3 linked regions of the Mus musculus genome follow. The protein of the gene in region 3 interacts with the protein of the main gene of each other region in a pairwise test. Links are inferred from orthologs where the notes say so. Each region holds a gene or a part of one and is shown on either strand. Other genes may lie near its edges.

The links.
Region 1: the proteins of Cyth1 (region 3) and Cytip interact in binary tests that used the Homo sapiens proteins (3 or more experiments, as listed by UniProt). The link is inferred for Mus musculus from reciprocal best matches to the Homo sapiens genes CYTH1 and CYTIP.
Region 2: the proteins of Cyth1 (region 3) and Itgb2 interact in a two-hybrid assay, tested with the Homo sapiens proteins (2 studies listed by BioGRID). The link is inferred for Mus musculus from reciprocal best matches to the Homo sapiens genes CYTH1 and ITGB2.

Annotation. Positions count from the first base shown.
Region 1 is NC_000068.7:58,132,591-58,136,237, forward strand, and holds part of Cytip (cytohesin-interacting protein), read right to left. Parts: intron 1,604-3,647; coding exon 1,137-1,603; 3' UTR 1-1,136. UniProt on the Homo sapiens protein: By its binding to cytohesin-1 (CYTH1), it modifies activation of ARFs by CYTH1 and its precise function may be to sequester CYTH1 in the cytoplasm.
Region 2 is NC_000076.6:77,540,282-77,543,928, reverse strand, and holds part of Itgb2 (integrin beta-2 isoform 1 precursor), read right to left. Parts: intron 1,964-3,647; 5' UTR 1,961-1,963; coding exon 1,903-1,960; intron 1,532-1,902; coding exon 1,443-1,531; exon of another isoform or gene 1,383-1,442; intron 1-1,382.
Region 3 is NC_000077.6:118,245,701-118,249,821, forward strand, and holds the start of Cyth1 (cytohesin-1), read right to left. Parts: upstream 2,859-4,121; 5' UTR 2,761-2,858; coding exon 2,739-2,760; intron 1-2,738. UniProt on the Homo sapiens protein: Promotes guanine-nucleotide exchange on ARF1, ARF5 and ARF6. Promotes the activation of ARF factors through replacement of GDP with GTP.

The sequences.
Region 1 (3,647 bases), on a different chromosome or scaffold from region 3:
GAAATTCACTTAAATGTATCAGCTCTGTTGAAGACACACAAACACATACACACACACACACACACACACACACACACACACACCCCGAAAGGGTGGAGGGAGAGAGTGTGCTTGGAATCAACCTAAGTCTTTATCACATGGTTATTTACTTGAGCATACAGGTAATGAACAGCTGTATCACCAGAACAGAGTTTAATGGATGTTGAAATAACATAGAGCATGATTGACAGGTGAGAGTACAATACAAGCACAGCTAACAAGGAACTTCGAGCTGAGGTGATACCTATGTGGAATGTTTAATGAGGTGTAGCAGGAGATAAACATACAGAAGAAATGTTCCTTCCCCATTCTCATTTTTAGAATTTTAGACATTTGCAGAAAATACAATCACAGATCTATAGATTTGATCCTGAGATTTCTGGCCTTGGCATGAATGTTCAGGCAGAAAATAAAAATTGAAATGGGCGAAAATAATGAGAGTCTCACTCACTCTGTTTAGAGATGGAGTGGGGAGTGGCATAGGATCCCAGCACCAAGAGCTCTCCTCTGCACCAATACTAGGCATCTCTCCCGCCTCACTGTCACTGCTGAAGTGAGAAGATGCGTATGATGCTATGTTTTATGATCCTTTAATGGTTTGAAAACAATTTTAATTCTCTCTTGGGCAAGCTCCCAGAGGCTACAGAGTAAATGAAGCAAATAGGAGGTTTTGTAGTCTATCAAATTAACATATTAAAAGCAACCCAATAATTATATTCTGTCGGTCTATATTCTTACTTGATCTAAGAATTCTCCACTTTTTACATGCATGGTCAGTATAATAAATATTTTTGTACTTTCCTGGCCAGCATTAGAATGAGCAGACATATTATTACATTATTTAACCTATTACTTTCCTCTTGTGATGTCTGTTTAGAAGTTGAACACTACTGATTGAAACAAACAAACGAACAAAAACAAACCTCTGATATAAGACCCCAAAAATAACAATATAAGAACTTAAAGGTCACTGCTGCTGTGAGATGGGATGTGAGCTTCACAGTCTATCTGTACTTTCCCACTAAGCCAGGGGTTCATCTTGGCGGGTAGAGAGAGGATTGTGAAACAAGCCAATTCAAAAGGTCTGCAGCAGCCCATCAAAAGCGACTCTCTTCCTCTTCCACTGCACGATGAAGGCCAGGGATGAATTTCAAAATTTGTTTCCGGACACTACCCCGTCTGCTTTTCCGGGGCAGGGTCCCAAACACGCTTGAGTAATTGCTCTCCCACAAGGGAGAAAAGGACCCACTACTAGTGACACTGATGCTCCGGTTTCTCCTGGAAGAAGCATTCCGCAGAATCTCGTCTCCATCCTTAGAGTGAAAGCACTCATCGTCGGTGCTGGTCTGCCGGCTGAAGGCACCCCGGATGGAGTCCTCAGACATACTGCTCCGGTAGCCGTCCTCACTGTCCACTGTGAGGGAGCTCAGCCAACTCTTACAACTGCTCTCACTGGACAGTCGATGCCGGTCCAGGAGGGCTGGACTCGGCCCCAGCAGATTTCCAAACAAGGACGACTCGTCGAGGTCCATGTTTTCCAAATTTGGGGAGTTTGCTGTGTCTCCTACAATACAGAGAAGAGTCTATTGTGAGTTGAATTCAACCAGCAGTCCCTACAAGAAAGCACACCCAACTTCAAAGAACTCAAGAGAGGAAGGACATATTCTCTGGCCCAAGTTTTCACTTGCACAAATAAAGTTAGGAGGGTTAACCAAGCTAGCACCCATGGACTAGCTATAAGAAGGTCATGAAAATTATAACTTAGAATACATTTAAGCAAGATAATCCATGCCCATAGCTTGGATCTAGAATGTACTCCAGAAGGTTTGCATGGAGATGCTACTGGGAGATGGTGAAAATTTTAAAAGTTGCTACCTCCCGGGAAAATTTAGTCTTGGATTAAAACTTCTGTTTCTTGCTCCGTTTTCCCTCACTCTCTAGCCACTAACAGCAATTTTAGTCTGCTGAGTGTTTCTGCCACGATGTACTATCACAGGCCCAAGCCAGTTTATTATGGACTGAAACCTTTGAACACTGAATCAAATAAAACTTTTATTTTTTGTAAGCTGACTTATCTTAGTGGCAGAGAGGACTGTACTTGACTTGAAATCAGTTCAATGCAAATGACACTGAGACAGTGTGACTCTGTGAACCTCCAAGTGCTAATGTCTTAAATTGTGTAACCCCGGAAACTTTTATGAAAATGCTCACAGAAGGGAGGTCAAAATAGATGCTCAGAAAGTTCTTCTCTGGTTCTTATGATCTGTCTCTGTAAAGAATCGGAAGCTTATTATAAAGCTATCTAACTTATATGGGGAAAACAGCTACAAACCAGAACATGTGCTTATAAAAGGTTTATGGAACCAATTATACCTTCCAGTCTCAATATCCCAAATTTCCTCTGAGAATGGCTGAATGTTTTAGGATGCTGCTGTGCTTAGAAAGCACCTCTCTCCTCAGAATTCTAGCTGCTTGGCCAAGTTTTCCTGTCAGTGCTTTATAACCCACAAATGGGTTCCCCAAACGGAAGTATGAGTCACATTCTCTCCTGCCCACCTGTTTCTCATTGCTTGGACAGCTAGTGTGCTCAGAAAACCATAACTGAGAATGTGAGTCTATTTAAAAAAAAAAAAAAGGTACAGGTTGCCAAGTCCTCCAAAAGGCATCCTGTGTTAGTTCTCTTTACTCTGTTCTCCTGTGGCTTTGGTTGACAATGTAGAAAGAGACTGTTCTGCCTCCATTTGATCTATGAAGCCAAGCACAGCCAGTTTACATCTACATCATGCTTCCTTTCTGCTACAACTGGGTTGTTTTGTCTTTCGCTGCTGATAAATCCGGATGGAAGAGCAATTGCTTTATAGACCCCCGTGTCCTGAGTACTTCCTCTAGTTCTAGGAAAAAGCAGATGAATGAAGACCTCTAGTCCCTCAAAAAATGTGTACCAATGTAGCTCCTGATATTAGATCTACTTAAGACTATTCCTGTCCATGTGAAAACTGTATGCTGGGCTGTTCAGAAACCTTCAGTAGTTCAGCAAAGGCTTCTGAAACACTCCACGTCTATGAAAAGCAGGAAGTTGAATAAGGTTTCAAGAATCTCTCTCTCTGGCCCATTGGTCGTGCAAACTTTATCTGCCTCAGTACAGGGGAATGCCAGGGCCAAGAAGTGGGAGTGGGTGGGGGAGCATGTGGGGGACTTTTGGGATAGCATTGGAAATGTAAATGAAATAAATACCCAATTAAAAATTAATTAATTAATTAATTAAAAAATAATCTCTCTCTCTCTCTCTCTCTCTCTCTCTCTCTCTCTGTGTGTGTGTGTGTGTGTGTGTGTGTGTGTGTGTTTCAAACTTGTCTAGTATAAAGTGAAAACCAAGTCTCTAAACTGTTAATCAATGCCTAAATAATAATTAAGACTATAAAGGAACTTTAGAAGACAGAAAAAAATAAAAGACTATAAGATACAAAGTTGAATAGACTTTGGGATAGATATTTGTCAGAAGACATGAAATTGGCCAAAAGATATATGAAAAATATGTGGCATCATTAATCAACTGAGAAGCACAAATAAAAACAGGATGAGAGTCATCTCACCCCTGTAAGATGCTT
Region 2 (3,647 bases), on a different chromosome or scaffold from region 3:
GACCACATGTGTCTCATGCGGGGCACAGAGGATGTCGTCACTGCCTGGTGTCCCCAGTGTACACTAGAGCTGAATCAGAGGACACATTGGGATGGAGACACCAAGGGATATTCTACACTGGTGGCTCCTCTCACCCTAAAATGACAAGGACAGGAAGAGGAAGAAGGCTGGGAAGTTTCTGGAAGTAAGGTGTGTAAAGCGGCCTCCTGTGTGATCTGAGACTACACCAGTGAGGAAAAATGTGAAAATCTGGCACATTGGGTTGGGCCTGTTGGGTTGATATGTCCAATCTCCCAAGCTCGATAACAGGATCAAACTCAGCACCTGTGAAAACACACACACACACACACACACACACACACACACACACACACACAAAATGATGGTCAGGGTTGACTATCAACCTGACAGGATCAGAAATCACCCCGCCTCTGGGCACACTGGTGAGGAATCTTACTGATTAGGCTCACTGAATCAGGAAGAGCGCCCCCGTGTGGGCACACTGGTGAGTAATTGATTAGGTTCACTGAATCAGGAAGAGCTCCTCTGTGGATTAGGTGGGTTTAGGTCCTGGACTGAATGGTGTTAAGCAAAGCAGTCGAACATGAACATTCAGCACTTTGCTTCGTGACTGTGGATAAGAAGTGACCAGCTGCCCACACCCCCGCCGCCTTGACTTCCCCCACCATGACAGACTGTAGTGAACCCTGCCTTCCTTAAGTTGCTCTCCTCAGGGTATTTTTATGATAGCAACAGAAAAGTAACTAAGACAGTACAATTTTTTATCAAAACACATTTACTGGGTTTTGTAAGCTAATAACCTATTCCTAAAAGACCTATGGAGAAAGATGCACAGGGGCTGGCTGGCTGTAGCTTCCGCCAGGAAGGATTAGGTAACTGAGAAGAAAGAGTAATGGGTGCACTTCCTTGCGTGGTCAGCAGCTTGGGGACCCCAGGAGAAGGCTGTGATAAGATTTAGTCCCGGGCTGGAGAGAGATGGCTCAGCTGTTAAGAGAACTGACTGCTCTCCCGAAAGTCCTGAGTTCAAATCCCACAACCACGTGGTGGCTCATGACCAATCCTATCCATAATGAGATTTAGTCCCAGGGGAGGAGCCTTCTATAGGAGGAGGGGCAAGCTGTCCCGAGGACTGTGATTCAAAGATGAAGAGTCTCTGCCATGCCTGACCGGGGGCCTTTGCCTCCCTCTGCTCTTGACTTATATCGTGAAATGTGACTGTCCCTCCCTATGTACCTGGGGTCAACTTGGGTTACCATGGTATATTTATATCCCATTTGGAAACTTCTTTACTGAGCCATTTCTGCTATGTACTAAGGAGATCCTCCTAGTGACCCTGGCTTCAGAGAAGCAAAGGTTCCTACCTAGGCCAGTGGGAAGGAAGGGCAGCTTAGACTCTGTCAGGTGACCCACGCAGCTCTTACCAGCTTCTGGCACCAGGAACAGCCAGGCCCCGACTGGATACAGTCCCGGCAACTGCTGACTTTGTACTTGGTGCATTCCTGGGACACAGCTGGGGAGACAGACAGGGCTGACTGAGGGCCCCACATCCACCCCGACTGACTGTCTTCATGAATGAATGGGGTGCAGAGATGGACGGGGCACTGGGGAGGGTACAGGCTAGTGCCTGTGGCCTTACTGGGGTCTGGGAAGGGCTCTGAGTCACCCCAATGGAATTCAAAGCAAAGCTCTAGAGGTCAGACCCCCCGCCTCCTGTTACAAGGCAACCAAAGCCATCATCCATGCCTGAGACTCTACTCTCAAAGGCTGGTCCTTCCTCAACCACCTGGGGACGTATGCCCAAGGGGACATATGCCCAAGGAGACGTGAGGTGGGCCCACTGTCAAGGAATGTCACGTGTAGGGGCAGCTCCGCAGAACTCACCAGATCCCAGGAAGAACAGTCCAGCTAGGGCAAGCAGCAGTGAGTGTGGGCCCAGCATGTCCTGTGGAGAGAAGGAGCAGGTGACTCCAGGCTGATCACCTGAGGAGTGAGGTCCTCCTTGCTGGCCTGCTGCCATAGGGTATGAGAATCAGCCAGGGCCAGCACAGATGTCACCCAGCTACCTCAGGGAGGGATATGGGGGCCTGAATACTGACTGGCTCAGGTGGTCAAGTACCTGGAAGAACAGGCAGCCAGCCTCTGTGGGGATTCCACAGGTATGCACACACATATATAGGGAGTTGGGGGAAGGGATAGATAGATAGATAGATAGATAGATAGATGTGATAGAGATAGATAGATAGATAGATAGATAGATAGATAGACAGGCAGACAGACAGACAAATAGACAGACAGACAGACAGACAGACAGACAGACATGCCACACAGGCAGGCCCATTTCCATCCCACAAGTGCATTGGCCCGCGCTGCTCAGGGCTATGGCACCTGTACATTCAAAGACCACAGTAAGCTTAGATCCCCAGACCTGGTTGACCCAGACAGCAGAACCGGGCCCAGGCAGAGCCATGAACTTGGAGTTCTTGTCGGGGCAGGACTGAGCTGGCTCACAGAGACTGCAAGTCTCTGGTTGTCTCAGGCACTCTTTGAAGCACCAATTTTATTCTTGCTCTAGAGGGGCTACAGCTGGGGACATTGGAGTTCCTGTCCCAGACAGGGGACAATAGGCTTCCTGGAGCTCACTCAAAGTCTGGACAACCCTACTGCTGGCCACCTGATGCCCTGTTTCCGTAGCTACTGCACCATGTCTTGCTTACAATCAATGGCATTGCCAGCCTTGAAATAATGGGAAGTTGGGGGTAGGGGCTAGGTGGGTCTGGGCGTGCTGAGAGGCCTGGGTTGTGACCTTCTTCCTTACAGCTGGGCACTGGTAAATACAGATTCTCCCAGATCCTTGCTGCCACCCTCCTTCCCCGGAAGTAGCCAGAGTGGCCAGCACTCAGCCCACAGAGGCCTAGAATATTCTGAGTGGGGTGCCTCCTGGGTCTGACTTCCTATGACATGAGAAACTGTGGCAGGCAGGCAGAAAGAGATGCCAGCACCAGAGGCTGTGTTAACAGAAACAAAATCAACTTCCCCAAGCCGTGACCAGCTCCTCTGCAGGGCAGGGCTGAGCTACTACATAGGCTGAGTGGAGATGGGGACTGGGGTGTCAGGCCACTGCTTTCAGGATGACTCTTAGTGCTGTGTTGTGGCCTCAGAATACTGGTGGCCCCTGACACCATCTTTGCTTCCTGAAGCCCAACGTCCACACTGAGGCTCTGTGGTAGATATGACACCATTCTAGGGCTACCCCAACCTGTGGGTACGGGCTCCATGTAGCCTCATTTCTGACCCTTCTAAAAGTGGCCTGTGACCTCAGAAAGATAACCTCTAGAGCCCAGAGATTTTGTCTATTTTATTTTACATTTTAGTTTTTCTGAGACAAAATTTCCCTGTATAGCTCTCACTGTCATGGAAATCGCTCTGTAGGCCAGGCTGACCTCAAATTTACAGAGCTCCATTGCCTCTGCCTCTGGAGTACTGGGATTAAAGTCACGTGCACCATGCCCATCAAAGACCCAGAGGTTTTAAATGAAGCCCACTTCTCCTCCCCACTTAAGGGAAGACAGGATGTCCTCCCCAGCTTTCTGAATTAACAGACTATATAGCAAGGCAGGGTGGAGGAT
Region 3 (4,121 bases):
CCAGCACACGTGTCCTCTTAACATGTGGAGACTGGAACAAGTACATTCTCTCTATAGTCTGATACTCAAACTGGGAGGCTCAGTCAGACACAGAATCAACACAGTGCCAGCTACTCAGAAGGCCGAGGCAGGAAGATCACTTAAACCTACCAGTTTGAGGCCAGACCCATGGAATCATAGGGAGATGCTCCCCTAACTCAAAATGGAAAGAGGAGATCAAGAGAAGGGGGAGAAGAGAGGAGACAAGGAGAAGAAGGGAAGGAAGGAAAGAAGGAAAGAGGGAAGGAGAGAGGGAGAAAGAGAAGGAAAGCTGGTCTCAGTCTCCACATGGCCATTTTATACTATATGATACTCGAGGAGTTCTCTTGTATTTAACCCCTCTAGATCCTCCCAAGTAAAAAGACGTAAAAGTGTATAAAGGGGGCAATGAGCTTCCTTTTCATCCTCCCATGCCGCTCTCTTGAAAGCTTGCACGAATGCCCACATCTGGGATGATGAGATGTCCCAGTGGGTTCAAAAGCGCTTGGTGTTAAGTCTAGCAACCTAAGTTTCATCCCAGGACTGGCAGAGTGGAAGCAGAGAACCCACTCCTGTCTCATAACCTCCACGCGCAATAAATAAATAAATAAATAAATAAATAAAATTTTAAAAAGTTAAAGATGTGAACATCACAATCCTCAAGTCTTTAAAAGTGTTTACTCACATGGCAAAAGGGAAGCTGGGTTTGTGGATGGCTACTACGATCCTTATCCTGAGTTATCTAGGTAGGTGTGACACACAAGTGTCCTGTGAAAGGGCAGCAATTAGACAAAGTGGAGAGATGCTATCCACTGGCTTTAAGGATGGATTCCAAGGGAAGCGAAGCATCCTCTGGAGCTAGGAAAGGAAAGGAGGCCGACTTTTCCCTCCAGTCTCTGGCAGGAACACTACCCTAACAAAATCTTGGTATCAGCCCAGTGTGACCTAATTTGGACTCTCACCTCCAGATCTACAGAGTAAATTTGGGTTTGAGTCCCTCTATTCCTGGCAGTAACAGGAACCAAAGCCTTCCATTTTTCCTTCCCTAGTACAAGTCATGCCTGAGTCAAAGAAGTCACTATTAAACCAACCAGAACAGCAGCTCTTGCCTCACCCAGCGGGCAATAACCAGGGGAGGGTAAGAACAAAGCTTGGCAGAACCCTGGCACCCAGGGGACAACAAAGGACAAGGGGGAGAGAAAAGAGCAGTGGGGAAAGCCAGTGAAGGTTTCCAACCGAAGAAAAAAACCCTGAGGGTCCAAGGGGGCCGAGCAATCCCTCGGGGCCTGCCTGCAGGTGACTGCTTTTCTATCACAAAGGAAGGCACACACCATGTTTACCTGGAAGGTAGCAAAAGCCGGCTTCTTCCACTGAACAGGAAGGCACAGACCTCTAACATTCAAGGAAACAGTCAGTGTTCACACATCTGAAGCTCTGGGAGTTGTTAGCCATAATCCTCATGGCTTCACCGGGTCAGGGTTCTCTAAGGGCTCCCCTGCAAAGCCCTAACACTCTTCCCTCTTGGTACTTTAATATTCCTCACCAGAGTGTGAGGAGGCAAAGTTACCTGTGAGGCAACACACCGGAGTTTGGCTCCACTAAGCCGTATAAGCTTGTTAAGTTCCTGAGCCATACTTCCCTGCCAAACCAGTAAAAGGTCACCACTCGCCCTACCTGCCATTCCTTCTTCCATTCCTCCTGGAAACAATGCTAACAACCACGTAAAGCATTTCAAATAACCTTCTACAACTCCAGAGACTGCACACCCTCGGAGGGACCAGAGCCCTGGCTGTTCGCCAACAAGCAGCAAGGTTAGCCAGGAGAGTCTAAATCGCTTCTGCCCTGGTGGAGGATGTGGACTGGTGTCATTACCCGGCTACCTTCAGGCAACAGCTCAAACTTGATCCCCTTGCCCGGTGTGGTCAGGCCCTGACTGACAGACCAGGGGACCAGGAGCTAATTCACAATGCGACGGTAGCACGAACCTGACCGACGTCCCCGGCTCAGAGGCCCCGGTCAGGCCACTTGTGTTCATCTCAGAACAAAGAGCTGGATGGGGCACATAACTTCTAACACCCCTGAGAGCCGGAAACTACTAGGGAACACAGGCCGGCCGGGCGTGTTAGTCCCGCGGCCGCTCGCGGCGTCTGCCACCCCGGTGACAAGCAGCAGGCGACTCGTCTTAAAGACTACGACCCCGGTCACCTGGCCCTGACTCCCCTCGGCACCCCGGGGCTCCTCAGCATCCTCATGACCCTCAGCGCTCCGGTTAACCCCCGCCGCGGAGACCCTCTAACCCCGGCGACTCCCCTTCCGGGGCCCCTAGACTCGCAAACCTCAGCCCCAGCGACCCCCAGGCCCGAGTAACCTCGGTCCTGGAGCCCGAAAGCAATTCCCGGTTTTACACCCGTCTCCGTCGGCGCCCTCAGGTTCGGGCGACCCCTGCCGTGACCCTCCAGGCCTGGGTGACCCACAGCCCCGGCAACCCTCAGGCTCGAGTGACACTCAGTTCCCAGCGACCCTCAGGCCCGGGTGACTCTCAGTTCACGGCGACCCAAAGGTCCAGGCGACCCTCAGCCCCGGCGACCCTCAGGCCCTCGAGCGTCTGGGCAGTCACCCCCGGGCCCTCGCACTGCCGCCACCCGGCGCTCCGCGTCCCGTCCCAGGGACACCGGCGCAGGCGGAAGCTCACGAAGGGGCAGCGGACCGGCCCCACTCACCATAGCTGTCATCGTCCTCCATGGTGCTGGCGACCGGCTCCGGCCCGCGACCGCCACTGACCTCCCGCAGCCCGCGTCCTGCCAGACACCAGCTCGCCACAGGCCAGCTCCGAGCCGCGGAGCCCCGCCCCCCGCACCGCGCCCGCACTGCCCAGCACGCGCCTGCGCACGCGCCGCCCGAGGCACCGCCCCCGGCACAAGGTCCCGCCCACAGCCAAAACGCGCGTGCGTGAACGCCCTCTAGGCCCCGTCCCCTTGAGGACCTCTTTAGTTTGCGTTTACGCAAGCGCGGCACCTAGGCTCTGCCTATCTATGACTCCGCCCCCAAGTCACGCCCTCTCTCCTTAGGTACCGCCCCCTCTCCTCGGGGCAGGGCAGTTTCGGGTTTCAAGTTTCACAAGCGTGCGTAGGCCGCGGGCGTGGTTTACTAGCCAGGGCCAGCGTCCAGCCACTCGGCTGGTTAAACATACTCAAGGTCACGGGTATAACCCGAAGGGTAAGGTGGCCCTAGCTGTATCCGCCTCGGACACCAACACGTCGAGGAGGAAATTACCTAAACTCATCTGTGTTCGTTACTTATACTTCCTACCGGCGCCAAGTTGCACAGGAGGACATAACTTCCAAATTAGTAGCCTCAATTTACAGGCTCTGCTGCTTTCTTCGGGAGGACCGGTTGATCCCCCTTTGCAGTTGTGGCCAGGGGCTGCTTCTGTGGAGGTGAGAGCATTTATGCGGTAGGAGGTCTCTGCAGAATTAATCAGTGGAAGCACCAACCAATGATCTGAAAAGGCCCTTAGGGAACACCCTGTCCTGTGAACTCTAGCCAAGTGACCAGCAGGGAGTGCATTGCAGCTCAATGACAGAGCACTTGCCTAGCAATGTGAGAGACCCTAGATTGCATCCCAGAGACCAGGGGAAAGGAGAAAACTAATTCCCAGACTCAGAGGGTCTTATATGGGCTGGGGCATCTCTGGGTGGTAGGTCCCTGTCCAGGATGTCCTCCACCACAGCATGCACAAACCCTTCTTACCCCAGAAAGGCCTGGGGTAGTGGTGCTTGCCTGTGGCATACCTGTTGTTAGTCTAGCGTCCCAGGAAACTGAGGCAGGAGGACAATATAGTGAAACTCCACCTCAAAAACAAAACAAAACAAAACAAAACAAAAACCTACAAATACAGCAAAAGAGACACTGGGAAGTTTTGGGACGGGTCTTCCTGATTGAAACAAAGACTTGAAATCCCCCATGCAGCCCCAGAACCAGCCTTCTACCCCCACAGCTCCCTCTCTCTGCAAATCACTGCCTGTAGAGGGTTGTGGGAATCTCTGGGCTTCTGCAGGGCATGAAGGGGCCAGGCCAACCACATGGGGAGGAAGGAGAGTCAG